Linked DNA regions of Notamacropus eugenii. The protein of the gene in region 1 interacts with the protein of each later gene in a biochemical or structural test. Links are inferred from orthologs where the notes say so. Each region holds a gene or a part of one and is shown in the gene's direction. Other genes may lie near its edges.

Evidence for each region.
Region 2: of the proteins of MAPT (region 1) and MAPK3, one has a biochemical effect on the other in vitro, tested with the Homo sapiens proteins (2 studies listed by BioGRID). The link is inferred for Notamacropus eugenii from reciprocal best matches to the Homo sapiens genes MAPT and MAPK3.
Region 3: of the proteins of MAPT (region 1) and CDK2, one has a biochemical effect on the other in vitro, tested with the Homo sapiens proteins (2 studies listed by BioGRID). The link is inferred for Notamacropus eugenii from reciprocal best matches to the Homo sapiens genes MAPT and CDK2.
Region 4: the proteins of MAPT (region 1) and FKBP5 form a complex in vitro, tested with the Homo sapiens proteins (2 studies listed by BioGRID and IntAct, with this or other methods). The link is inferred for Notamacropus eugenii from reciprocal best matches to the Homo sapiens genes MAPT and FKBP5.

Annotation. Positions count from the first base shown.
Region 1 is NC_092873.1:346,978,895-346,985,723, reverse strand, and holds the start of MAPT (microtubule-associated protein tau), read left to right. Parts: upstream 1-3,820; 5' UTR 3,821-3,948; intron 3,949-6,829. UniProt on the Homo sapiens protein: Promotes microtubule assembly and stability, and might be involved in the establishment and maintenance of neuronal polarity.
Region 2 is NC_092872.1:46,778,750-46,786,669, forward strand, and holds the start of MAPK3 (mitogen-activated protein kinase 3), read left to right. Parts: upstream 1-4,904; 5' UTR 4,905-4,969; coding exon 4,970-5,142; intron 5,143-6,295; coding exon 6,296-6,478; intron 6,479-7,599; coding exon 7,600-7,789; intron 7,790-7,920.
Region 3 is NC_092874.1:231,163,567-231,170,648, forward strand, and holds the start of CDK2 (cyclin-dependent kinase 2), read left to right. Parts: upstream 1-4,068; 5' UTR 4,069-4,264; coding exon 4,265-4,380; exon of another isoform or gene 4,381-4,440; intron 4,441-5,209; coding exon 5,210-5,287; intron 5,288-5,457; coding exon 5,458-5,578; exon of another isoform or gene 5,579-5,583; intron 5,584-6,220; coding exon 6,221-6,391; intron 6,392-7,082. Other genes in the region: melanocyte protein PMEL, read right to left, coding at 242-280, 1,836-1,935. UniProt on the Homo sapiens protein: Serine/threonine-protein kinase involved in the control of the cell cycle; essential for meiosis, but dispensable for mitosis. Phosphorylates CABLES1, CTNNB1, CDK2AP2, ERCC6, NBN, USP37, p53/TP53, NPM1, CDK7, RB1, BRCA2, MYC, NPAT, EZH2.
Region 4 is NC_092873.1:92,735,092-92,742,130, reverse strand, and holds the start of FKBP5 (peptidyl-prolyl cis-trans isomerase FKBP5), read left to right. Parts: upstream 1-4,032; 5' UTR 4,033-4,290; exon of another isoform or gene 4,291-4,379; intron 4,380-4,467; exon of another isoform or gene 4,468-4,534; intron 4,535-4,959; exon of another isoform or gene 4,960-5,030; 5' UTR 5,031-5,123; exon of another isoform or gene 5,124-5,146; intron 5,147-7,039. UniProt on the Homo sapiens protein: Immunophilin protein with PPIase and co-chaperone activities. Component of unligated steroid receptors heterocomplexes through interaction with heat-shock protein 90 (HSP90).

The DNA of each region.
Region 1 (6,829 bases):
TGACAACAATAATTGGGAAGTTAGGAAGAGGGAAGAGTTTGGGAAGAAAGAAAATAAGTTCAGGTTTAGATAGGTTGAACTTAAGATATTTATAGGACATCCAGTTGATTTCCATGACGTTGGAGATGCAAGACTGACTAAAAGGAGAGATATTACAAATAGAAAAGACAGGACTTGGCAATTTATTGACTATAAAGGGTAAGAGAGATTGAGAAATTGAGGATAATACCTAAGTTGCAAGTCTGGGGGACTTGGAGGATGGGGATACTCTTGACAACAATAATTGGGAAGTTAGGAAGAGGGAAGAGTTTGGGAAGAAAGAAAATAAGTTCAGGTTTAGATAGGTTGAACTTAAGATATTTATAGGACATCCAGTTGATTTCCATGACGTTGGAGATGCAAGACTGGAGGTCAGGAGATAGGTTGGGGCTGGAGGATAGATCTGAAAATGATCTGCATAAAGATGTAACTGAATCCAAGGGAGCTGATGAGATCATCGAATGAAATAGTATGAGGGAGAATAAATGAGTGCCCCAGTCAGAGCCTTGGGGGACATCTATGTGTAGCAAGCATGACCTGGACGAAGCTCTAGGACAGGACACTGAGTACTGAGTCAGACAGATTGGAGGAGAACCAGGAGCATAGAATCACAAAAATCTACAGAGAAGAAAAGTATCAGGAAGAGGCTGTTCAATAGGGTCAAAGGCTGCAAAAAGGCCAAGTAAAAGGTCATTAGATTTGGTGATTAAGAATAGATTGTTAGTAAATGGAGAGAGCAAGTTCAACTGAACAATAAGATCAGAAATCAGGGTACAGAGAATTAAGAAGAAAATGAGAAAAACAGGAGTGGAAGCACTGGCAGTAAATGAATTGCTCAAGTCGTTTAGCCACAAAAAGGTACTCATAGATAGATAGTTGGAAGGGATTGATCAAGTGAGAGTTTTTTGAGGTTTGGGGAGACATGGCATGTTGGTAAGCAGTAAAAAAGCAGCCAACAGACAATAAGAGACTGAAGATTAGTGAGAGAATAGGGATGACAGAGGGATGACAAAGGGGAGTGACCTGCTGGAGAAGATGGAATGGAATCCTTGTATATGTAGAGTTGTTTGCCTTTGAACAAGGGTTGCTTCATTATGTTAGACAGGGGTAAAAGAGGAGACAATTGCAGAACGGATCTGAGTGATTTGAGGTGAGGAAGAAAAGAGAAGAAGCAAATGTCTGACATTATTTCTTGTGGAATATGGAGAAAGAATCTCAGTTGAGAGGACAGAGGAAAAAATCTGTTGAGAGAGGAAATGTTTATAAAAGTTGCTGTGGTGAGTGGGATAGTGAGTCACAATGATTGCCTTGCTCCACTGACCTTAGAGGTCAATCTAGTCCAAACCCTAATTTACAGAAGAGGAAACTGAGGGTAGGGAGGGTAAATAACTTGTCCAAGGTCACATAGTTTGTTCATAACATAGGTCATAATGGAACCCAAGTCCAGCACTCAGTCCACTACACCCTGCTGGCCTTCTAGTTGTCCAAGGTCACAGAGTAGAGTAGTCAACCCACAGAATCATAGATATCAAGCTGGAAGAGATCCTCTCTCTTATTTTACACATGGGGAAACTGAAGCCCACAGATGTTAAGTGACATGGAGACCACACAGGTAGAAATAGCAGAATCAGGACTGGAATCCAGGACCTTTGACTCCAGACAGCATGCTTTCCAGTGTATCACCCTAACTCTCCCCTAGATCTGAAACTCCTCCAATCTCCAGTTCTTTCAGCTCCAATGAATTGCAGCCTTCCAAAACTGTCCTGCTTAAGAAATACTGGGTATTGAGAAAATAAATATGAATCTCCCTAATCAAGGAAGTGTAGGAAAGGAAAATGGAAGGAGGGAGGGGCTCTCTGATGTTAACAACAAATACTCCTATTTATAACTTAGCATTTATATATCACTTTAAGGTTTGCAATTTGTTGTTGTACAGCCATACAGTTGTGTCTTACTCTCTATGATCCCCTGGACAATATAGCATGCCTCTACTATCCTCTACTATCTCTTGAAGTCTGTCCAAGTTTGTGTTTCTTGTTCCCATGACACTATCTTTCTCTCTCATCCTCTGTCATTCCCTCCTCCTTTTGCCTTCAATCTTTCCTCACATCAGGGTCTTTTCTAATAAGTGCCATCTTCTCATTATATGGCCACAGTATTTAAGCTTCAGCTGCAGTGTTTGACTGTCCAGTAATAACCTGGATTAATTTCTTTAAACATTAACTGATTTGACCTTCTTGTTGTCAAGGGACTCTCAAACGTCTTCTCCAGCACCACAATGGAAAAACCTCAATTCTACAGAACTCAGCTTTCTTTATAGTCCAACTCTCACAGCCATAGATCGTTACTGGAAAAACCTGAGCTTTGACTATCTTGGACCTTTGTAGGAAAGGAGATATCTCTGCTTTTGAGCATGCTGTCCAGAGTTGTCATAGCTTTTTCTTCCAAGGAGCAAAGGTCTTTTAATTTCATGGCCTCAGTCTTCAACTTCAGTGATCTTTGAGCCCAAGAATAAAAAAAAAAATAAGTTTGCCAAGCACTCTACAAATAGTATCTCGTTTTATCTTCATAGCAATTCTGGGAAGAAAGTACTAGAATGATCCCTGTTTTACAGATGGGCACACTGGGGCACGCAGAGGTTATATGAATTAGTTGCCAGCTATAAAAAGGCCAAGGCTGAACCCGTCGTCCTTACTCTATGCGATGCTCTGTCCACTGTGCCAACCAGTTGTCCCAGAGAGGTCCGAAACGACCGTGTGATCTGGGGGCGCAAGGGAGACGAGTGGAAGAGGATGCACCCCAGGGTGGGCACCCAGCCCGAGCGCCTGGGTCCAAATCCCGGCTAAGAAGGGAGGGAGGAAAAAGGGCATGAGGGCATCGCTCGTAGGGAGACGCCTTTGCCAAGGGGCCCAAAGGGAGACAAGCAGGGGCGCAAGCTGGCGGGAATGGGTGGCTTTACAGGTGGGGGCGGTGAGCAGACCTGCGCAGGTACGCGTAGATGCGCTGCTGTGTGACCTCGGGCCCACCCTTAACCTCCTGGGCTTCGTCACGGGGTGGGGTGGGGGTGGACAAAATGACCCCCAAGTCCGCCTCGGCGCTACCCCCACCACGCTGTGACGACGACTCTGGGTGTGACCCCGGGGCTGCAGAGGGGATGGGGGGAGGGGGTCCTCTCTGTCCCGGGGACCGCCCTCGCCAGTGCTTCTGTGACTCTGGGGGTGTCAGGGCTAAGTCAGAGCCGGCTGCCCGGCCTGTGCCCCCCTCCCCCCAGGGAAAAGCCCCCGGGTCTCTCTGACGAGACAAAGGCCCCAGGCTGAGAGAAGAAGGGGGTCTGTGTATGGGGTGGGAGAGAGGTGCGTGCGCATGCGCCGGGCGCGAGCGCGCGCGCCTGTCCGTGCTGGGAAACCCAGGCGCTGGGGTGGGTGAGGGAAGGGTTGGGGCTGAGATTCCCAGGGTGGGGAAGAGGGAAAGAGAGAACCACGGCAGGGAAAGGAAAGAAGACTGGCGGCAGGGGCAACGGCGTGACCCGAGGGCGGGGCTCCCGGCCGCTTGAGGGCTCCCTCTGGCGGCCGGAGGAGAAGGGAGGGCCCTTGAGGCGGGGAGTCGCGCTTGCGCTGGCTCTGCGGCTCTCCACTTGCTGCCTGCTCTGGGCCCCCGCCCCCGCCCTCCTGCTGCCGCTGCCGCTGCTGCTGCTGCTGCTGCTCCTGCTGCTGCTGCCGCTGCTGCTGCTGAGTTACTCCGTTCGCGGGGAGGCGCCGTGGTCGCGCTCTCTGCTCCTCGGCTGCGCGCGCCCGCTCTCGCCCGCTGCTGCCCACCTCCGCCCACCTGCCACCGCCACCCAGCACCACCGCGTCCGCCACCGCCGCCACCTTTTCCGCGCTCCGCACTCCCCTCGCACCGGCCGAGCAGGTAAGCGCGGGGCTTCGGCCAGCTGCTCCCCAGCCCCCAGTGCGCCTCTGCGCCCCCTCCTCGGGCTGGATGGCTGAGCGCCCGGCGGGCAGGGAGGGATGCCTTTACCTAGCGCTCTGACCCCCACCCCACGGCCGCAGGCTGCGCACCCGCGTAGGGGAGAATGGCAGGGTTCCTCTGGCGATCCACAAAGGGAAGCGTGTGTGGAGAAAGGAAAAAAGGAGTTACGGCGTCCAAGCCTTTGCGTGAACCTGGAGAGCGAGGTGTTGAATGCACAGGGTGGGGCGCCGGTTGCGGTGACCTCGGAGGAAAAAAGGGAGGGGGACTTGCCATTCCCCTCCCCCATACCACTTGCCGCAGTAGGGCGAGGGGCATCTTTTCCGATGCCAACGACCAGGAGGGGGTGGGGCCCTGGGGTGAGGATGAGGGAGAAGAAATTTCCAGTCTCCCAGGAACCTGCCTCCGATTTCCCGTTTTGCGTACCGCGCTCAGGAGGGCGTGGGGTGGATTTTTCACCAGATGCCTCCCCACCCCGAAGTGGGCTTCGGGGGAAAGGCTTACTAGGGTCCCCACCCCCAACCCGGCTTTCTTTCCCAGAATTCAGGGGACATGTTGGCTAAGGTGGAGTGGATTCGCCTAACTGGGAGGGGTCTCTGGATGGATGGATGGATGGATGGATGGATGGATGCAAGTTTATCCTCAATTCCTATTCTCCCTGTGTCCAAAACTAAAAATCAAAAAGCAGATGAATGGTGAGGTTGACGTTTCTTGAGGGGGGAAGGTTTTTTTTTTCTGTTTCACTCCCTCCCCCCCCCAAAATCAGGGTGTGTGCGTGTGTGTGTGTGTGTGTGTGTGTGTGTGTGTGTGTGTGCGTGTCCAGCACCGCGGCTGCGTCCCCGCCTTGGTCACTCGGAAAATCGAGCTGCTTTTTTGCAGACGTCAGTTGCCGCACTCAGGGCTGCGGGCTGCAAGGTGCATTTTCAGAGGACGGGTTTCTTTCTCTTCCTTTCCCGGGTTCTCGTTCCTCTCTTACCCGCAGCGGGTAGCGCTGTCCGTTCTGTAGCCGGCCCTTACGCCGTGGCCGTGATGGCGGTGAGGGCTTGCCTCTGGATGCTGCAGTAGGTGTGTATCTGGAGGGAGGGGGGAAGGGAGGAGAGGGAGGAGGGAGGGGGGAAAGGATGGGCTTTCTCCCTCTTCTCTCTTTTTCAAATCGGTGGTGCCATATTTTGCAGTCTGACATGTCCTTATAAATGCCGTTGTGATATCCTTGGCATATACCCTGTAGAGAACAGGATGGCATGTGGTGATATGGTTAAAAGCAAGACGGGGGAAATCTGCTGTGAAAGCTTTACATTTTGCTACCGCAGAATGACCTTAGGGAACGTGCGCTGGGGAGAGTGCCGCTTTGTGTCTCCCTGTTAAATGGTTCGTGTTTCCCCGCTATGGTTTTAAAATTTCGTTTGATTGAGAAGTGTGGTGTCTACCCCGAGCATCGCCACCCCACCTAGTCCCGAGAAGGTGCCACTAGAATCAGCAGGCTTTTGTCGAATCGATTTTCCCCCTTAATAACCGAGGAACCAACGTGACAGCGGCGATGGCAGGGATACAATAGACGCTTCTTTTCGCTGTTTCCGGGCTTTTCTGAGAACGCGTCTCCAAATTCCCAGGGAGGGTTTTCTTTTCCCACAGTGTATGGGAACAGCAAAGGCTCTGCTGGCCGCCGCGCGGCCGGGACTACGCCCCTTTTAGGACCGGGCACGCGCAGAGGCTAAAGTGGACCACCCAGGCTGGTTAGGGTAGGCTCACAGGTGCTCCCTCACCCTCAGGGAGGCTGCTTAGGGTTGGAGAAAATGACGAAACAAACAAACAAAAACCATCCCTGTGCCTTGCGGGAATTGCCTGTCTGCGTCGTTCCTTCGGTGCCAGGAGCTCCCATACCCGCACGCGCCCTGGCGCACAGTCCCGCTAGTTCATTCCCGGGCCGGGGCACTATCCCGTGGCCACCACGCCTCGCGGCGCGCGCGCGCGTACACATCCATGAGCGCGCGCGTGCACACACCCTCTGCATGTTAATCCACACACAGACCGAAAGGGTCCTGCTCCGCTCGTTTGACAGATCCATGAGGAAAACTAGCATGTTTGCGCGTGTTGCGCAGAGGCATTCCTGCAGGTGCGAGCGTTGTGTGATAGAGAGTGCTCTTCTGGTCCAGATGCCCATGAACAACCAGTGCTTAGGAACTGAGCTGAAAAACGGCAGGCCTTTTTCTGAAAGAGGATCAGGGCAAGGAGAGATTGATGGAAATGGGAGAAGATTGAGTAGGAAGGACCCCAGGCTTCTAGGATTTCCTTCTTTAGGGATAGAGTTGCAAAGAATTGGGGAGGCATCTCGAGACTTCATTGGAGATGTGGGTTCTGCTGACTTTGGGAGCAGCACCCACCAAGGAGCTCACCACAATCATGGAACATTGACTGGGGTCGTAATGGGATAGATCGTGGACAGATCTTTACAGTAAATTAATTCAGAACAAGCATTTATTTTTAGAGTGTCTTTCTCCCCACCCTCCCAAACAGCCTTCCAGGAGAACTAGTGAGGAGGTCAAGACCTTTTGCAGTCTTGTGACATTAAAGATGGGTGGGGTGACATCAGGGAGACAGCCACCAGGGGGGAGCAGTACAGATGCAGCATCTACATCAGCAGCTTCTCCTACATGATTCTTCCCCTTCCATGTAGGAAATTAAGAAAGAATAAACACTGCCTTTTTAAGGAAGGGATTTGGTGAGGTGGAGAATAGGAAGGAAGTATGGCCTGAAGTATTATACTGTCCACTTTCTAAATTGATCTGAACATTCACTCTTGGAATAACTTAGCCCTCCCATCTCC
Region 2 (7,920 bases), on another chromosome or scaffold:
TTGTCAAGCCTCTGTTCAGAAAACGTTTAGGTCTTCTCTTCTGCCCATTCAACAGAGTATAAACTATCACTGACTCCCTATTGCTTATCTCCCAAAACATACATATTCAGTCTCATTCCAACCTAGTTTTCAGCCTTACCTCATGCTCTTTCCCTTCCTATATTTTATACTCTAGTCAAATTGGACTACTCTGTATTCTCCATCTTCATCTTACCAGTTCCCAGCAACATACCTTTACATATGGTTTCCCCTCCTCTTCCCACCTTTTTTAAAATTTTAAATTATTTTGTTTTCAGTTTTCTACAATCACTTCCATAGATCTTGTATTTTTCCCCTCCCTCTCCCTTCACTCTCCCCGAGACACCATGCAACCTTATATAGATTCTACACATACATTCCTATTAAATACATTTTCACCTTAGTTGTATTACATAGAAAAATTAAAATGAATGAGAGAAACCATAAAACAAAACAAAACAAAACATAACACAAGAGAAAATGGTCTGCTTCCTTCTGCAATCCAATTCCATAGTTCTTTCTCTGGATGTGGAAGGCGTTTTGCCTTGAGTCCATTGGGAATTCCTCTTCCCCTTAACTGATTGAAATTTCCCCCTTCCTTTAAGGCCCTACCGAGGTTGAACTTCCTTCACAAACTTCCTAACACTTTTTCTAATCCTTCTCTCCTGATCTCCCGGGAGTAAGTGACCAGCAGCAGTCAGGAGTAATGAGACCTGAGACCAGGTCAGGGGATAATGATTGTCTCACAAAGAAGCAACCAGAAGTCAAAGAGAGAAAACCAGAGCTGAGCTGAGAGTGAAGACCTAGAACTGTGGGCCTAGCATAACTTCTGTGACAGACTAATATACCTCCTGTGATAATGAAGAGACTGAGAGTTAACCAGAAGACTAGTGCTCCTCAGGAGACATATGATCCACGTTACTGTGAAAAGGAGTGGCCATTTGGGGATAAATGCTGAAAGTTTAAAACTTGATTTAATTCTAATATTCTTTCATATTAAATAACTTTGCTTTGAATCTATAGGCATCCCAGTTTAGTTCAGTAAAAGAAACATTGTTAGGGACTCATCAACAGTGAGTTTAAATTGCTAATTAGTCTAACAGTACCAGGAACCTAGAACTAGCTGTAAAAGAAAGGGGTGGGGCTCAGGATGCACTTGATAAACATATTATAAAGAAATTATTACATTCAATTGAGGGGTATAGGGAACACCTCATGAAGGATTTAGATCAACTGGAATTTAAAGGATGGGTAGAATTTCAAAAGACAGAGGTAGCAGGTAGGACTTTCCAAAACTGGGAATTGTATAATCAAAGGCATGGATAAAGGTATGACATGGCTGGTCATGGTGGCACACATCCTTAATTCCTATTACTCAAGTGGCTGATGCTGGTGGATTGACTGAGCTTGGATGTTTTGAATTATATTGCAATAGCTCTAGAGGTGATCAGGTGTCCTCATTGACTTTGGCACTAATATGCAAGAAGGTGTTTCACCACACTGTCTAAGGAGAGGCAAGCTGGCTCAGGCAGAAAATGGAGCAGGTCAAAAGCTGCCATGTCATCAACAGTAGCGTCAGACCTGGGAATGGCCACTTTACTTCTGGATGTGGGTAAGGTGGGGAGATCATTCAAAAAAAGGAAAGTATGAGATGTGTACAGAGGATGGCAAGTAGTCCAATTCAGCTGGAGTACAGAGTACACAGTGGAGAGAATACTCTTATATAAGACCAGAAAGGTGGAAAGACACCAGATTACGGAAGCCCTTGAGTGCCAAATTAAGGAATTTTGACTTATATTTGGCAGGCAAAAGGAACATATGGAAAAATTTGAACAGGAGAGTGACATGATCAGATCTGTATATAATAATTTGGATCCTGTACAGAGGTTTGATGTCTTGGGAGGAGGATAAGATAATCAAAGGAAAGGGCCAAAGATAAGCCTTGGAGAATAATTTTGTTAAAGAGTTGGGAGAAGAAAGACCAACCAGGGAAGGAAATAGAGAAGGAACAGTTAAAAGTAGAACCTAGAGTGCTGTGTCACAGAAGGCAAGGGAATGTCAAGGAAGAGGATTCTCTCTCTGTGTGTAAACAATAAGGCCATTTATTCAGAACATAAATGCATAATAAAGCACATTCCTAGTGAGCGTAGTTTCATTTCCCTTCCCCCCCAGACTAGTTTGAGTTTTGACTGCCATCTGATTGATGATTCTGATGGGGAAAGATTTGTTCCAGGGGGGTTGAGCCTTGCAGGACTCGGGTTTTCAACAGTGTCAAATGCCCCAGAGATCACAGACAAAGAGGAAGAGGCAGAAAGAAGAAAATGGAGTAGTTGTTCCTTTGGCTCTGCACTTGTACAGACTGGAAGGATTCTGTGTATTTCCAGACCTCCTAATCATTTTTACTTTTTAAAATTCTTAGTTTCCTTCAAGGTTCAGGTCTGATGTAGATATTTACAGGACCCTTCCAGATCCAACCCACTTTCCTGAATACTTCCTTGTATTTACATATATTTGTTATATACACCCAGTTAAACCTAAGTTTATTTAGATCAGTAACTGTTCTGTTTTTGTCTTTGCAACCCCAGCACCCAGTACAGTACCTTCATATAGAGTAGATGCTCAATGTTTGTTGAAATTAACTTAATCTCTAAAATTCTTTCCAGCTCCAATTTTATGGCTGATTTAATACGCTGAATCAGTCGCCTCCAACATAGGAGTTAGTTTCAGGAAATATCATTCATAGTCACTAGAAAATGATTTTTACAAACACTGCATGGGGTGAAATAATTGCAGTCTTATATGACAAGCTGTCATAGAACTAACTTCCCTATGTTAGCACTCCACCCATGGCTCACAGCAGATCTCTATCTGGTACTTTATTGAGTCACTGGTCTCTTGTAATTACACGAAGTTAGTTTATAAAAAAAGCCTTATCATATTAGCAAGGGCTAAACCCAGATCCTGCCAGGCCTGTTGCATGTTCCTCGGGGGTTTATTAAATTAGCATATGAGCCACACCACCGTGAATTAGTATATCTGATTCAGAAACAAATTATGAGGGATTCTGGAATCATGAAGCTCCATTTTGCACAGGTCTGCTTTAGCACAAGAGGAAGATTTTGTTCCTGATCTTTCGAGGGGAAAAAAAAATCATACGGAAGCCCTCCAGATATGTTTGTATAACCCTACCCTATTGTACACTGTTGTCTTGTCCTTTCAAGAAATTCAGTGACAGGGAGCAGCAAAGTATAGATAAACCAGAGGAAGACTTCAAGTATATCAAAAAGAGCTTCTAGGAAAGATTAACGGAAAGCTGGGAATAACATCCACATATGCAGAAAAAAAAGATGGGTTGCTTTGTGCACACTCCCCTGGTAATGGAGCTGGGATAATCAGTCATCTCAAGTATCAAAGGAAATCTAAGTGGTAAAGTGGATAAAGCCCTTAGGCCTGGAGTTAGGAAGACGTGAGTTCAATTGCAGCCACAGACACTTGAGCAATAATTAACCCTGTCTGCCTCAGTTTCCTCGTCTGTAAAATGAGCTGGGAAATGGCAAACCACTTCAGCATCTTTGCCAAGACAACTCCAAATGGGGGTCACAAAAAGCCAGACAGGACTGAACAAGACATCAGTGGAAATAATAACTTAATCTGTACTGGGGGAAAGGCAGGCAGGTTGGTGACTAATTTTTTTTTTTGACTAATGAGGTTAACTCATGATTTCTGTCCATTTCCAGGCTGAATAACCATTTAGAACTAGATTTAAAAAAAATTTAGTTTTTGCTGTCCTAAATTATCATCCTCTATGCAGTTTTCTCAGCCCAGTCTGTGCTCAGGGGGTAAATTAAAAGTGATGAAATTTCTAAGAGCATGGAGTCTAACCTTAGACGGGATCACGTCACAGCCCACTCCCCAAAAGCTCCCTGTGGCCTCCAGGGTCAAGCACAAGCCTCCCTGCGTGGAGGTCACCTAGCCCCCTCTGAGCTTTCCAGTGTCCTCACACTTGCCCCCTGCTGTTCTGGGACAAGGTCCTTCCCCTCCAGCTGCAGGCACTTCCTCCGTCTGTCCGTCCCCCCTCTCCCAGCTGGTGCCTTCCCTCCAGAGCGGCATCACTTCCGTGTCCTCGTGGAGCTCCTGGAGGGCAGGCACTGTCCGTTGCCTCTTTATTTCTCCAGCATTTTGCCCGGTGCCTGGCACAGAGTAGGCGCTTACCAGATGTGTACTGACCAATGGCATACCCACTCCTCTTGTATCTATGAAACAAAGCCGTCCTCCCAAGGAGGGGCAGAGGGCCACAGGGTCGGGGTCGGACGCGGGCCTCGGGGCCACGCGGTCTAGGCCGCTGTTTTACAGAAGGGGAACCTGAACCCCAAGCCTGTTGGGGCACCTGCCCAGGCCCTCTGGCCCAGGACGGGAAGCTGACCCCCCTTGGGCTCTTCCCTAACTCTCCAGGTGGAGGCCTAAATGTGGCCGTGGGTGAAGCCCCGGACCTCTGCCCTCTCGGCCCGGCCTTTCCACTCGTGCTCGTGAAGGCGCTTCACCGATGTCCACGCAGTTTTACTGCCCGGAAGGGCCTCGCCGCAAGGCCCTCAACCGGGAAAAGACAACGAAACTGAGGCCCGGAAGACATAGAGCGAGGCAGGCTTGCCCAAGGCCGAGCGGCGAGGGATCGCGCCCCTCCGGCAGGGGGTGGGGTGCCAAGCCCCGGACACTGCTCCCAGGAGGCCCAGGCCTGCGGTGGAGGCCGGGCAGAGGCGTGGAGCCCAGGCCGCGCAGGCGCAAGCGCCGAGCCCGCCAGCCCGAGAGCCAGGAGCTGCGAGCCAGCGGGAGCCGGGGGGCGGGGCCCGGTCGGGGGCGGGGCCTGCGCGGCGGGGTGACGACACGGAGGGCGGGGCCGGCGCGCGCCTAGGCGGGACCCCGGGCGGAGCCGCGGGGAGGGAGGGGAGTGGAGATGGCGGCGGCGGTGGCGGCTGAGGGGGGAGGGGGCGGGGAGCCCCGGGGAGTTGACGGGTCGGGTCCGGGGGTCCCGGGCAAGGTGGAGATGGTGAAGGGCCAGCCGTTTGACGTGGGACCGCGCTACACAGAGTTGCAGTACATCGGGGAGGGGGCGTACGGCATGGTCAGGTACGGGCCGGGGGAGGGGGCTCCGGAGGTGTCCTGAGAGAGGGGAAGGGGCTCCCGGGGTGTTTAAGGAGGGGAGGGGTCTGCGGGGATTTTCTTGGGGAAGGGAGGGGAGCCCAGGGTACGATCTGAGGAAGGGGAGGGGTCTCTGGGGATGTTCTTAGGGAGGGGAGGGGCCTCTGGCGATGTTCTGAAGGAGGGGACGTTCCGAGGTTGAGGAGGGGGCTCCGAGGATGTTCTAAGGGAGGAGGGGGTGTCCAGGGGTGTGAGGAAGGAGGAAAAGGGAAAAGAGGGAGCGATCAGAGGAAGAGAACGGGGCTCCGGAGATGTGCTGAGGGAGGGGGCCCTAGGAAGGGGAGGGGGCCTGGGCAGGTTCCTGGGGGGGAGGGGCATCTGGGTGGGGAGGTGTGAGCTCCCCTCAGACTTGGGGTGTGGGGCTGGGCTGGTGCATGGCTATGCCCCTGTCTCTGCTGCGCCCCTCTAGACATCCCCCTCTGCGGGACAGGCCTCTCCTGGAGACCCAGATCCCCGCTCGTTCCTTATGTATACTTTCTTCAACCACCACCCCTGTGGCCCTTTGGTACCCTCCTTCTGGGCCCCATCTCCTTTCCTCCTAGGATGCCTGGCTTGAGGACTTCCTGACGTATTTTCTCTTTATTTCCTATTTTCTCCTTACCCTCCTCATCCCTCTTTTAGACTTCTGGGTAATAGGAATAGAAAGAGACATACTAGGGGTCCTAACAGCTGGAGTTTAGGTTGAGAGGTGGGGAGGAGGAGGGTCAGTGGTCTCTTCTTCCTGGAGTGAAGTCAGAGCTTGGGTTGGCTGGTCCCCAGCCCACTCCCTGGAGGCTTCAGGCACTAGTGGCAGGAAGGAGCCAGCATTGTTTACTGCCTGGTCAGAGTTCTCCCTTGACCCCCCCCCCCCCCCATCCTCCCTCCACCTCCTCCTCCCCTCCCTCTTCCCATCCCCTACCCCAAGGCCTGGGTGGAGCTCAGTGGCCTAGGCTCTGCAGATGTTCCCTTAATCTCTAGGCTATCCTGCTCCCCCCAAACCAACCCCCCCCCCAATTCTGTCTGCATTTTTTCTCCTTCCCCCTGGGCACAGCTCTCCTCCAGCTGTGATCCAGGATAGATCCTTTGCCCTCTGCCCCAACAGCTCTGCCTTTGACCATGTGCGGAAGGCCCGGGTAGCCATCAAAAAGATCAGCCCGTTTGAGCACCAGACATATTGCCAGCGCACCCTACGAGAGATTCAGATCCTGCTTCGTTGCCATCATGAAAATGTCATTGGCATCCGTGACATCCTTCGAGCACCCACACTGGAGGCCATGAGGGATGTGTATCCTTAACCCCTTTATTCAACTCTGACCCCAGATCAGGCTCTGTAGGGGCTTTTTTTTTCCTTCTCTGTCTTGTGTTCCTTTCTCGACTCCATGCCCCAGTAGAAGAGAGAATGTGGTATAGGGAGAAGCGAAGGGGTTTATGAATTAGTTTTGTTCATATGTTTCAGTCATGTCCAAATCTTCATGACCCCTTTTGGGATTTTCTTGGCAGAGATACTGGAGTGGTTTACCATTTCCTTCTCTAGCTCATTTTTCAGATGAGGAACTGAGGCAAACAGAGTCAAGTGACTTGTCCAGGGTCACACAGCTAGTAAATATCGGGGGCCATATTTGAACTCAGGAAGAGGAGTCTTGGGTCTTCAGACCTAGCACTGTATCTACTGTGCCACTTAGCTACCCCTATAAATTAGTAGATCCTGATTTTAATCCCATCTTGTGCTTCACTTTCTTCTTATAAAATGAGATATTGAACTAGATGATCTCTGAAGTTCCTCCCAGCTCTTAATATTTAGAGATTCTGAGACCTTGGCCAGGTCTCTGCCCATAGTCAGGGTTTAATTAAAATTTTGTAGATAGTGAGTCTCTGCAACAGAGCCTGTGAAGCCCCACATAAATCTTCTATATATCGCCTGTTTTCCTGCCAACCCCTCCTTTTTCTCCTGTCAAACAGATGGGGGCTTATAGCCATCTTCTCTTGAACTTTCCCCCTCAAAGCCCCACCCAGGTACCTCCCCAACAGGAAGATCCTTGGACCTTGTCCAGATTTTGGACTGTATTATCATGCCCTTTTTCCTCTCTGCTGTCTTTTTCAGTTTTCCTCCCTTTATTTTCTTCCAAATGCCCTTTCCTCTTCTCAACTTCAAGTGAAACCCTGTCAGTCCCTTTCCTCCCACCATTCCCCATGTGTATGGATTTATACTGTAAAAAGAACTGTTTGATGGGGTCCGGGCCATTCAAAAATAAAATGGCAGAAAAAGACTAGATGAAGGGGCCCTTTGGTTGGCCTGATGGGGTTACTGACAATAGCATCAGTCTGTTATTCTCCTTAACTCTACTTCCTATCGGTTCCCCCACTTCCTGGTTGGAGTGGGGGGGAACTCCTCCATGTCTCCCTCAGCTACATTGTTCAGGACCTGATGGAAACAGACTTGTATAAGCTGCTCAAGAGCCAGCAGCTGAGTAACGACCATGTCTGCTACTTCCTGTACCAAATCCTTCGGGGCCTCAAATATATCCACTCAGCCAATGTGCTCCATCGGGACCTCAAACCCTCCAACCTGCTCATTAACACCACTTGTGACCTCAAGGTGAGAAGGCAGAGATGGCAGACCATCACGTCTCTTCCTTCTCCCACCTCACCCCACTTTGCCCTGTATGTACGTCCAATCTCTGTGTCAAGAAGTACAGCCTCCAAGCTGCTTATCACTGTCTGTGGTGG
Region 3 (7,082 bases), on another chromosome or scaffold:
TAGATGCTGTTACTTATAAAATACAAATTAATTTTAATATTACTGAATTCATATTAGCTTTTTGTTATTTTTTTTCAATCAATAGAGACTAATAGTACAACTGCTACCAGGTGAGGGAGCTGTGAAATGGTTCTGATGTTTAAAAAGAAAGAAGGAAGGGAGAATAAAGAGAGAAAGAAAAAAGGAAGGAAAAAAGAAAGGAAGGAAGAAGAAAGAAATCTATCAGACAAAATGTTCATACCCTTTGATCCAGAGATTCCACTATTTACTACAGAGGTCACTGAAAGAAAAGAAAGACCCCATATTCACCAAATATTTCTAGCAATACACTTTGTGGTAGCAAAAAACTGATACAAAGTATGTATTTACCAACTGGAGAAAGACTAAATAAGTTGTAAATGTAATCAATGGAATGGGAAATATTGCTGTGACTTAAGAAATAACCTACACAGTGATGCAGAGAAGGATGGAAAGACTTAGGTGAACTAATGCAAGATGAATTAATCAGAGCCAAGAAAACAATACACATAATGACTACAACAATGTAAACGGGAAGAACAATCACAAATGATTGTTTCAAAACTATAAAGACGAAGCATGGCCCTAGAGTTTGTTTGTTTGGACCTGTGGTTTCATTGGTATTGGAAACACCATACACTGGTATAGCTCTGTAATTCATATTGGAGTAAGAAAACACCCTTTCTTATCCGGGACACTAAAGAAGAAATAGGAGAAGACATCATCCCCCCTCCCCTTTGTAGCAATGTGGGAGTCCACAGGTGCAAAACATTGTATACTTTGTGAGATTTTACATATATGTATATATCTATATATATATATATATGTCAGTTAATGCTCATTTTTCCTCTTCTTTTTTTCATGAAAAAATTCTTTGTTATATAGTATGGATCTCTGGAAGGAGGAGGAATACAGGGGCAAGTTTAAGTGACAAAAACCAAAATATATTAATAATATTGTTATTTTTAAAAGTTTATCCTTATACTAAAAAAAAGACAGAGAACTGCTGGGTTAGAGAACTAACTGATGTTAGGGGAGATACGGTTTCCTGACTTTCCAGGATTCAGAGGGAAAACAGGGGCAAGAAAAGGGTTTAGAGACTTAGAAGTTGAGAGAAGGAACCTAGAATAATCTTACTGAGTATCTCATTGTTAGCATAAAAGGAGTAATAAGATCTCCCCTTCTCCTTTCTCCTCCCCACTCTCCTCCCTTACTGTAACTTCTGATATTCCAGACCAACCCCCCTTTCCAGTCATGAGATCCCAATCCCTCAGCAGATCCTTTTCATGTGATTCTCAGCTGAGACCCTGATGCCTCCCCTGCCCTAACCCCAGAATAGCAGGCAAGGACAATAGGCCCCCTTCTTACACCCAAAGAAATAAGAGGTTCCTTTTTAATCTTTTGATCTCATACTTTTCCTTCTTTTTCTGGAGAACTGCCTCTTTCACATCTATGCCCCTAAAGTACCAGAAGAGGCAGGAACAATCCATCTGCCAATTTTAGGGATAGTCTATTTCACCTTCAAAAACCCTGATTTGATCTATTTCATTCCCTTTGGAGTCCTAAAACTTAAGCAACAAGCACTCCAAAATTCCTCCCCTCTTCAAGAGGTGCATCAGCTCAACTTTCCCACATTTCTAGATGTTCAAGTCCTTCTCAATAGATGGGGGAAAAGGGGTCAAAAGTTGCCTGGGGAATTGCTAGCGGAGCTGTTATCCTCAAGATTTCAGGGAAGCCAAGTTTAGCAGATAGTCCCAGCTCAAACTGCCCATCACCTCCCATCCTCCCAACATATCCATATTTATTCTCATACTCACTATCAGCAGCTATTGTAGTCAACAGGACACAGGTCATGGCCGTATTATAAAACCAGATCATCTGTCCTAGTCTCATTCTTTCTGTCAGTTGAACAACCATAGCACAGAGGTTGGTGCTAGCTCCTATATAAGAAAGGGTACTACTAATTTGCATAGCCCTGCCTATCTTCTCCTCCCTTCAAAATTCCCAGAGAAGAAAGGAAGAATTGAAGAGAGGTGGATGGAACTGACAGTGATGTGATGGAGGAAAAAGAACACTGCACTAGGTAGCAGAAAATGTGGGTTATCTTTTTTGAAAATTCCTGCTCCAACCAATTATTGGTTGTATGACTAAAACCTCTCTGAGCCTCAATTTCCCATCAGTAAAACAGGAATGTATGGAAAATGCTTTGAAAACTTTTCCTTACTTCAAAATCTACTGGATGTTTTGAGTCCCACTAGGTGATTAGATTTTTTGGCTCCATTTTCCCTCAGATAAGTGTTAATTATATGGTGGCCAGAATCTCTGAGTCAGACAGGAGTCAAGCAAGAATCAAGGAATTTCTCTCGAGCTCTTCATCCCACCAACCATCTCCACCTCCCTCCTCCATAGCTACACAAATAATTCAGCATGAGAGATTCAGCCAAAAAGTTAGTTACATCAAATCAAGAACCTCATGAAAAGATGGAGACAGATCCTCTTTACATGAGAACCTGTGAGACAGAAACAGGAAGAGACTGAAAGACACAGGTAGTGGAGAGAGCACTGGATTTGTAGTGTGGGGGTGGGGGGAAGATGTTAGAGTTCTGCCTCAGACACTTATTTGCTATATAACCCTTCACAAACCACCTGGGTTCTCTGATCCTCAAATTCGTCATCTATAAAAAGGAGACAATCACACTTGTACTACCTACCAAACAATGTTGTCGTAAGGATCAAATGAGAAAGTATAAAGTATTGTATCAACATCATCTATGACTATATTTACACTATCACAGGGAAAATCAAGGATGAAAAGCTTTTTGTATATTTTGAGTGCTATATAAATATTCATTATGAGGCTAGTACTAATGTAATATTATTCTAATAACTCACAGTTATTTAGGGCTTTAAAGTCTGAAGTCAAAGGGGATTTAAACTTAGGGATTTAAATTCTGACTACAAATACAGGAAGTTACTTATCTTGCTGCCTCCATTATTATTATAATAGAAATATAGTCATATACAGTGGTATGCTGGTAAATGCTTAACAATCAGCTCTCTGAAAAAAGTATGAATGTCATACTTTTAAGTTTAGATAATCAACAAAATAGTTAATCAAGCCCTGATTGGTAGCATTTGCTAATTTCTTAAATGTAAATTCTCACACTGAAAATTTAACAACTGACTCTCGCGAGCTGGTTTAAAGCTGACTCCAGCACACCCTTGGATATCTCCTGGACTCAGAATCATAGTTCTTCCTGTTCAAGGTTATTCTCCTCTATTTGGGACTCCCTTGGAAGAAAGGAAAATGGAAAAAAAATCTGGACTTGGAGTCAGAAGAGACTTGAGTTCAAACTTTGCCTCTGATATTTACTAGGTCCTCTTTGCCTCTGATATTTACTACTGATATTTACAGTCTAGTGTCTGGCCCTGTGGCACATATTAGGTGCTTAATAGTCACTTAACTGAGCCTCAGTTTTCTCAGCTGTAAAATGGAGATAATAACCAACACAATCTACTTGACAGTTGTGGGGATCAAATGAAATAAAGTACGTTTAATAGTGGCAGAGACATGCTTCTTCAATGTATGGGTGAAAAACATTTTGTAAATTTTAAGCACTTATATAAATGACAAATATTATTATATTCTTTTGGTCAGGATTGGTGGAAAAAACGTGGACAAGAGATTAGGGGAGTCTCTGCAGACAAGATACAAAGGGTAGGGCATATGGATTGAAGAGAGGTACACGGCTATAGGAAATTGGAGATTATCTACAATAGGTGCATAATTATTGGACATAGACAAGAGCCATCACCGAAATAGCTATTCCTCAGGTCTTTCAAGAAAGAAAAGTTGACCTAGGTAAAGAATTTGCAGAGTGGAGAAAAGAGATGGGACACTGAGTATTTTACTGGAGCCAGTAGGACTAGACAGAGCTCTCAGACCCACCTCCGTGATGACGTAGACCAATAAGACACTCTGGGGGCGGAGCGAGTGAAACGCGGGAAGCTGGGGCGGGGCTTCTGGAGGAGGCCGGGCGCGGGAGGGGGGAGGCGGCAACATTGTTGCAAGTTGAAGAAACTGACAAGGGGCAAAGGATACACAGCGTTCCATCCGGGCTCGGGCCACCGCGCCGGCCCCCTGCCCTCCAACTCTGTCCCCAGAGCCAAGCTGCTCTTCTCAGGATTCCCAGCCGTTCCCAAGTTCCCACACCTGGGCCGTGACGGCCCCGCTCCCCGGCTCTCCATGGATAATTTCCAAAAGGTGGAGAAGATCGGAGAGGGCACTTACGGGGTGGTGTATAAGGCGAAGAACAAGGTGACTGGAGAAGTGGTAGCGCTCAAGAAAATTCGTCTGGACACGTGAGTGGCCCCCTCTACCCTCGACCCCACTACCTCGAGGGTTCCTGGAGTGTCCCCATCCTAGAGAGGGGTCGGCGGGACCGGAAAATGAAGAGACAATTTCTTTTGGAGTGCGGTTCTAGGTTTTGGGGGGGACAGGGTAGCGTGGCTTCCAGGGTGGTGGGTTGGGAGGGATCTCTCAGCTCAAGTTGAAGGAAGCTTAGAATGGGAAAAATCCCTTCCTAAAATTTCGTGTGACAATGCCCCAAATGTGTAGGGATTAATTCAGGGAGAAGGAAAAACCCTCTAGAATGGCCTGTGGGACCCAATGGAGTTGGATTTTGTAGGAAGTAAAGAGGGAGAAGAGTGGCAGAGAGACCCCAACTGGTGGGAAGCAGCTTGCCAACAGGTCTTCTCCCTCTTCCCTACCTTAGAATTCTGCCTGTTCTTTCAAAAGAATGGCAGTTGAACCTTCACTGGCCCTACCGGGGGGAGGTTAGGACCATCCCCCTCAAACATTTTCCCCATTGCCCTCACTTGCCTCAGTTTCCCACAGTGTAAGAGAGTTAGATAGAGGCCTCTCACTTCCTAGCACCTTATTGTACTCTGGTGGGAGGGAGGAAATGGTGGCCTTTATGTATCCAAAAGCCACTCCCTGGCCTGTGAGCCCCACCCTGTATGGGCACGAGTAGTTTGTAGGTTGGCATTCTCTTTAGTCTCTCCCCCACCTTCTTTTTAGAGATGCTTGCAAGGGCCTTGGTTAGCAATTGGGATCTAATTAGGGAGACTGGGCTGTGGGGAGTGACCTTCTTGCTAAACTCCCATCTCTGCTCCCCCCATCCTCTCCAAGTGAGACAGAGGGCGTCCCCAGTACTGCCATTCGAGAGATCTCTCTACTCAAGGAACTTAATCACCCCAACATTGTCAAGTAAGTATGTCTTTGAGGAAGCTCTGATATGTTGATATATTCATCCCCCCAGAGTGGGCTACTGGATTCCCCCATCTCTTCTCATAGTGATATAAACCTGTTTTTGGTATATTCATATCAATGATTCCTTTTCCTCCCTCCTTTTGGTCACCCTGACCTCTCTTCTATAGGCTGCTGGATGTTATCCATACAGAAAACAAACTCTACCTGGTTTTTGAATTTCTGCATCAGGATCTGAAGAAGTTCATGGATGCATCTGCACTCACAGGCATCCCTTTGCCCCTCATTAAGGTAACTTGCCTCTTCCTCTTCTGGCTTTTGACTCTCTTCTTTTTTACAATAACATCCTGAATATATGTCCCATTATTCCTTGTGTTCAGAGCAAACAGGGCAAAATACCTACAATAATGGGTTTAAAACACAAAATGTTTTACAGGTAATTCAGGTTCCTTTCCTTCCTCTCTCCCCATCTCATTTGTGTCTTATTTTGTAGTTTATTAATTAGGGCTGGGTTGTGTTGGGCTGGGCTAAGTCATCAGGCTGGGCTGGGCTGGGCTAGGCTAGGCTAGGCTAGGCCAGGCTGGACTGAGGAACCAAGAAAGTTGCAACTACCCTGAATCAACTCCTTATTAACTGTGCAAGTAGATGGTGGGAGAGTTTTAAAGGAGGTAGACCAGCTCATTTAGCTTAAAGTCTGTAGTTTACTCATCCCATCTTCTGACATGAAAGTATTATTATGAGTGCCTTCTTGGGAGGGACAATGGCTGCATTTGAAGAATCAGGCTTTGGGTGCTTCCTAGGAAGCTATCTTTAGTGCATCAGTAACAAAAAAAAACCCCTTTCATTGAACATCAGGTGTGTACAAGGGTACTATAAGGAAGGAGAACTGCATCCTATTATGCTACTTTTTCTTCTGCATACCTCTCTTGCCAGAGCTACCTGTTTCAGCTCCTCCAGGGTCTAGCCTTCTGCCACTCTCACAGAGTCCTCCATCGAGACCTCAAGCCCCAGAACCTTCTCATCAATGCTGAAGGCTCCATCAAGCTCGCTGACTTTGGACTAGCCAGGGCCTTTGGAGTACCTGTTCGTACCTACACTCATGAGGTGAGAGGCCCATTCCTTATTCCCTTCTAATGATCTTCTTATAGGCACTTCCCAGGAATCATTATATATCCTTTACTAAGTCACTAAAATTTACTTAGAACCTACTATTTTCTTGGCATTATGCTGGGGACACGAACATGAAATGGTCCCTGCCCTCAAGGAGTTTATTCTATTCAGGATGATAACATGTACATAAAGAAACATATAGAAAATAAATAGGAGGTAATTTTCTGAGGGGGAAGGACACTAGTAGGTGGGAAGATCAAGAAAGGTTTTTGTCACTTAGGTAAAGTTATGAGGGAAACAAAGGATTCTGAGAGGGGTGAGTAGGAGGGCATGCCCTACATGGGGGGCAGGTATTGCAAAGATCACATGGCATGTGTTAAAAATAGCATGAAGGCCAATACTGGAAATAATTTTAATAAGATTAGAGGTAATAAGGTAAGTTGGAGCTAGGTGTAAAGGGCTTCAAAAGCAAAACAGAAGAGATTATATGTGATCCCAGAGGCAGTGAGGAGCCACTGGAGTTTGAGTAGGAGAAGCTACCATAGATTATCTCATTTGAGGGAAGAAAGCTCCTATAACTGTTAGCGGTAGGTGCTGATATCTTAATTTTATATTTGAGGAAACCAAGGCAAACAAAGGTTAATGACTCAGGTAGGGTCACATAGCCAGTAAGTGTCTAAGAATA
Region 4 (7,039 bases), about 250 Mb from region 1:
CTGTTTTGTATTCCTCCTCCCCATTAGAGTATAAAGCAACTTAAGGTCAAGAATTGTTCTCGTTTGCCTTTATATTTCCTGTGCCTAGCACAGTGCCTGGAATATATTAATAAGTGAATGCATGAAATGAAATGAAATGAAATTAATTAAATAAAATAAATTAAATGAAATTCTTAACTTCTCTGCTCCTGTCAGCAGTACCACCTTTCTTTTTTTTTCACTAGTCACTAAGACTTGAAAGATGTGTCATTCTTGTCTTCCTCTCTCTCTACTTTTCATCCATGCAGTTACCAAGTCCTATCTGGTCTTTCTACATGTTGCATCCTTCCCAATCTGTGCCCTCTTTTTCATTGACACCACCCTAGACCATGCCTTCTTTCTTCCTTTTTCAGACTCCTGGTTTTCTTTGCCTCTAGGTTTTCTCCACTGTAGTTCATACTGTACACCATTCATAAATTATTCATAAGATTTAGAGCTGGAAGGGGCCTTAGAGGATATACAGCCAATACCCCCATTTTAAAGTTAAGGAAGTGAGGGTCCAGAGAGTTTAAAGTGATAATCCCAAGATTACACAGGTAGCAAGTAGTAGAGGCAATATTTGAACTCAATTCTTCTGATTCCAAATTTATACCACATTAGGTATAACAGATTTGGACTCAGAGGATCCAGTTTCAAATCTCACTTCTGCCACTTATACTTGAGTGACCTTGGATAAGTCACTTACCTTCTGAGTCTCCAGGTTCTGATCTGTAAAATATACTGGCTGAATTGGGTGGCTTCTAAGGTCCCTTCCAGCTCTAGACTCAGGATCATATGATTGATAATCCTGTATCCTTCCTCATCTTTCTTCCAGCGGCAACTCTGAGATCGTCTAATATGATCTTTAAAAATGGAAGGGTTCTTATAAAAATTGAGTGTAAACCACTGCCCAACACAGATATTGTTTTTATAACACCCCCAAGAAGTGGTCATGCAGACTTTATTTTGTATTATATTTATGTGTACACATGTTTAGGATCCAAGCTCAAGATTCCTCCTTGACCTTCATTAGCATATTCTTATGACCTGTGCGACTCTGGGTTGGTCATCAAACCTCAGTGACTCTCAGTTTCCTCATCTATAAAATGAGGGCAATAATGCTCACACTATCCTCCCTACTTCCCAGGACTGTCGTGACAAAAGCACTCTACTCAGAAATCTTCAGGAGTTCCCCATTGTCTATGGAATTAAATCTAACCCCCAGTATTTGGCTTGTAAGACCACCCACAATCTATCTTTCCAGCCTTTTCAATACTCCTTTTCATGGCCCCTACTCAAGAGCCAAAGTGGCTACTACATCAGTCCCATCAATTAACTAATTCACTCAACAAGCATTTATCAAGTGCCTGACATTATATACTTGGCTCTGTGCCAGATGCTATGGATACAAAGACAGTCTCTACCCTCAAGAAAATTGTTTCTCAGTTTTCTCATCTGAAAATGAACAGCTTGGACTACATGACCTGTAAGGTTCTCTGTATCACTAAACTGATTCTGTGATCAATATGTATATATTGATATAGCAAAATATGTACAAAGTATATAGAAAGTAATTTGGGAATGGGGAGAACACCAGTAACTAGGGCAACAGGCCTCTTGGAGGAGAAGGAACCTGAGGGGAGTTGTGAAGGAAGCTTGGAAATCTCAGAAAGGAAGGTTAAGGAGAAAATCCATTCTAGGTATGGGGGTCAACCAAGGAAAAACACATAGACTGATAGTCATTTTTACTGGACCATGGAGTATGTGAAGGGCAGTAAGGGGCAATAAACTTGGAAAATTAAGCTGGAACCAGGTTGTGAAGACTTTTAAATAAATGTCAAAGGTGCTTGCATTTTATCCTAAATGGAACAGGGAACCACTGGAGTTTCTTGATCAGAGAGTGAAAAGGTCACATTTGTGTTTTAGAAATATGTTTGACAGCTAGGTGGAGGATGGATTGGAAACAAGAGAGTCTGGGGCTCTGGGAGTAATTTGCAAGGAAAGCAATAGACCAGGTGAGAGGTGAATAAGGTGAACTAGGTGGTGAACTAGGGGGGTGTCCATATCTGTTCCTTTGTTTGTGCCCAACATCTTGGGCAGAATCCTTTTTAAACCTTATCTTCAGCTCAAATATGATTTTCCTCCATAAATCCTTACCAAAATGTCCTTTGGTGGAAAAGTGAATAAACTGCCTGGCCTGGAGTGAGAAAGAGTCATTTTTCTGAGTTTAAATTTGGCCTCAGACATTTACTAGCTTTGTGATCCTGGGCAAGTCCCTTAACTCTGTTTGCCTCTTTGCTCATCTGTAAAAGGAGCTGGAGAAGGAAATGGCAAACCACCCCAGTATCTGTGCCAAGAAAACCTCAAGTGGGGTCACAAAGAGTTGAACAGAACTGAACAAAATAAGTAATCAATAATCAATAAACATTTATTAAGCCCATACTTCATTCTGGGCTTTGAGCACTGAAGATACCAAAAGACAGTCCCTGCCCTAAAGGAGCTCACAATTTAATATAATTCTTTTACTTTCCTCATAAAGCCCTCAGTACATGCCTCTTTTATTAATTGATCACAATTCACTATTATATTTATTGATATAAATGTTGTTTTATCTCCCCTGCTTAATTATAAACTCCTTTATTTGGCTGAGATGTAGTAGAATCTGTATAGAAGTAGGAGAATCAAGAGATTTAGTTTCTGTTCCCTAGACTATCTTATTCCAGCTTTGAACACTTAGTGCTGCTGCTTACAAAGCCAATTCTCAATGGTTTGTATATTAAACTGAAAACTTTTTCGCATTTTCAGCCTGTATCATTGTCTTAGAAAGATCAGCTCCCCAAATTTACAATCCATTTTGTAAAGCAGGACTTCCTTTTAGTGACTAACCCGATCTCTTTCAAGCTTTTAATCTTTAGATGTGGGCATCTGAACAACTTCATGTGATTTTATGGACTTTAATCTTGTGCTCCCTCAGTTCCTATCTTCCTACTCCGGAGAAACCTAATTCTTTCCTAATTCTAATGTGAAAGTTTTTGTGGCAGTTACTGAGAGGCAAAGTGGGAAGTTCCTGGAGAGCAAAGATCTTCCTGGTTTCTTACTTGAGTCCCTTCCAGGCTTGTACTCTCTCTTGCATGTGACAGCTGCTTAATAAATACTTGTTGTTTGATTGACAGGCTGTGGTAGGAAAAAGCACTGATCTTTTCCAGGGTCCGAAGATAACGGCCTTGAGTGCTATTCACTAACTTCGCTGCCATTTGCTGTTTGACTTTGTTTGGGTAAACAACTTAATATCGCTGAGCTTCAATTTCCCCAAATGTAGCTAGGACTAATCCATTCTCCTACTCCCCTCACAGGATTGTTACGAGGAAAGCAGGTAGCCACCGCTAAAACATTTTTATACATGTGAACTGTATTGAATGGATATCAGGGAGCTGATGAGGAAGGAAAGTTCCTGACAGTCATTCGAGAAGAAGGTACTTCCCTTAACCCAATATGTACTAAGCCCCCACTGGCCTGGGTCCAGGAGGCTGAGGACTTCTCCGTCCTCAGCTGGGCATCTTTGACTTTCCAGGGTGGGCTCCCGAGCTTAGTATGTCCAGGCAGTCTGCTAGGGACGGAGCCACTCCTTTCAAGCCTAAGCCACCCCTTCCATCTGCAGGGCAGCTCTCGTAGGTCAGATCGAGGGGGGGTTGGCAGGACTGTCCTAAAGGAGTAGGACAGAGTAAGCGGTTTGGAGCAGAGTCCCCCCAGAAAGATTACCGGGTGGGTACGGGGGCGTCCGAGGGCTCTGGAATCCTCCCTAGGCTCGTGGGGGTGGCGATGGAGTCCGGTACAGAGAAGACACGTGGGCCGCTGGGGCTTGGGCAAGGGGAGACTTCGGGGTGGGAGGGGGAGTGAAGGAGTACTAGTCGAGAGGGAGTGGAGGCGGAACCTCATTTGCATGGGCCGCGCGCGGGCGGCCAATCGGAAGAGGCGGGGCGGTGGCCCGCGCGCCTTTCGGAAGGAGACCGACAGTTTAGGGGACCTATCGGAGGCCGGTCCTGCGGCCGGCGGGGGCGGGGAAGCGCTCCGTGCCGCCCAGTGTGTGTGAGTGTGTGTATGTGTGTGTGTGTGAGTGTGGAGCGGGGAGAGTGGGTGGAGGAGTGGGAGGGCTGGGGGACTCCGGCCGGCTCTTGGGCTCTGCCAGTCAACGGCGGCGGCGCACCGGCGCGCGGGCTAGCGGTTGGGTACGGGGGCGAGCGGGCTAGCCAGAAAGAACGAGCGCAGCGGCAGGTAGCGCGGCGGGGGCCGAGACCGTGGGGATGGGGCCTGAGGGAGGAGGAGGAGGCGGCAGCCCGGCGGAGGCTTGGGATCGGGATCAGGTCCGGGCACCCCCCCCTTATTCCCTTCCCCCTCCCACCCCATCCCGCCTTTCCCCTGGTAACCCCTGGGGAGAGAAGCGAGTTGTGTAGTGTGGGGTAGGGACGGTGAGGTGAGGTGAGCTGGGCGCGCCGCCTGTGAGCTCTTCCTACCTCGTGTGAGTGTGTGTATGGAGAAGTGTGTATATATATGTGTATATATGTATATACATATGTATGTATGTGTACGCGCGCGTGTCCTCCCTGCGCCTCGTGCCTCGGTGACCCTGGAGGGCTGGAGGAGCCAGGGACCCATCCCTCCCGGGAGACCCCTGACTGCCCAGCAGCTTGGGAAGCTTTCGGAGCGTGTCCTCCGCAGACCCCCATCCCTGCACCTCCTTGTCCGTAAAATTTGCTCCCCGGCTTATCTTCCCAAAGGTGGTTATTTTGGGGGGGGGGGGGAGAGAATTTAACACACCAGGAGGGGATTCTTTTATCCTTTTCTTCTCACTGCTTCTTCCCCCTCCCCCTGCACCCCTATTTTTTTCCCCCAAGAGAAGCAAATGACAGGTTGCTCTGGCCTTTTATTTTTTCTGCCCTTTAGTTTTTTCTCTCCTTCGGTTCCTGACGGATCACGATTCCAAGCGTGTCTTTCTTCTCTTCCACCCGTTGCAGGAATTTGCCTCATCTGGATGACCAATGTCCAGTGCTGTTGTCTGTTCAGTCAGAGGCTGGGGGAAGGATCTTATCAGATCGGAACTCCAAGAGGTAACCGTGTGTGAAGTTCGAGTGTAAGAGTTTTTCTATTTTCCCGTAGCAGGAAAAGAAAAGCCCCACTTTTCCTGTTTAATTGCCCTCGAGAGACAAAGTTGGGAACTGTAGCCTGGAAAGGAGAAGTATGTTGGTACTAGTTTACGACTACGACTTTGGATGTCCTCACCTTCGTTGATTTTTTGGGCTGTGTCAGTGTTCAAAACTAATTTTCTTGAAGTTAGCCAGAGCTTTGGGCTATTACTTGTTAGTCCTGCATCTGCTCCTTGTCTGTCTTTTGTCTCCCGAGCCTTCCCAAGGATCTCTTTTGGTTTAGAATTTCCATAGAATGTGAGGTATACAGTGTAGCCTTCTTAATTATTATTTCACCTGTCTTGGAGTAAAATCTACCACCACCATGTTATAGTTAGGTGGAAAAAACAGTGCTGTTTACCTGCTAAAATGATGTTGAAAAATACTGCACTCATGATTTTTAATGGTATGTGAGAGAAGTTTTCACTTTGTAATAGAGGAAATGTCATGACTACTCTGATTCTACTGTATTAAAGTAGTAGTTTAAAGATAGTTTTAATCCTCAAACATACCACTTAAAGATGTTCTGATGTTAGAGAATTTGAAATATAACTGTACAAATAACCTAATTGTAATTTAATTTAATGACAATTTAGTCTTTTAGTACCCTGGGTGAAGTGTAGTATGATACAATTTTTGGAAAACCATCCACAGGACTAAAAGTCAAGGTATTCTTAAGTGTAGGTCAAGATTCTGGTTCTGCCCTGTGCAAGTAGATCTGATCAGGGAACATTTTAGCATAGAGATGAGAAAACATTTAGTTGGGAGGTCTCCTTAAGACTGTAAAATAGCCTTTCTTAAGAGAATGGTAGTAACTAAATCATGTTATTACTTGAAGATTTACTTAAGGAGGAAATACTGTGGGAAATTACTTTGTGTTTGTGACAAGTTTTTGTGTATACTTTGTGATTGTAGCATAATAGAAGGTATTTAGCTTCTAGGTGAATTGTTTCATGTTTTTCAGCTGAACTTTGGATTTCTTTCTCAGTTTTGAGTTTTCATATTGTTCAGATTATTAGCGTTGAAGTACCCCCCCCCCCCCAATCTGAATAGCCTTCTTTGCTTCTTTGAGGAAAGACCTACAAGAAGAATTATTCTTTTGGTTGGCTTTCAAAAAGTAGTTCTTGAAATAATATATTATTTAGACTTTTTAAAAAACCTTTTGATTTGGATTATTACAAAGAAACCAGTGTAGTTGTTCAAGAGTGGTAAGGCACAGAAGGGAGTGGAGCACAAAGTATCTAGGAAGTGATAGTATATCAATGAGAAACAAGTTACTGTTTCCAATCTGCAGTCTGTTATTTTTTCATGTTCAACAGTATAGTATATCATATGTATGCATGTATGTATGAAAAATTAAATTTATACATGGAAATAGTAAGAGGTTAAAAAATCTTTGATATGTAGTAGGGTGGATTTTGTTTAAATTACTTATCAAGAAGAACTGGATGTATTCATATTTCTTTAAAAATGCCTTGTTTGATATAGTATATGTTCTTTATAGCTCAGCTGTAAGTTTCAGTTCTAGAAAGCATGCTTTTGAAAGTAGTTTTTAATTTTAATCTTTTTTAGTTTAAATTATAAGATATCATACATTTGAATGAGGATTTAATTTTTCCCCCTGAACTTAAAGTGGCCATTTAATAAAGTAATGAGATAGTTTTAATAGAGTATTTGAAGGATCCTTGTGGACAATTATTACAAATAAATATTCTTTTCCAAGTTTCTCTTATTTAAACACTAAGCTTCTCTGTTCTGATTCTGTTCTTTTACCTAGAAAAATCAGTCATTAAAAAAAGTCTGAGAATATCTTTATTTGAATTTTTTCCTCTATCTTAGTT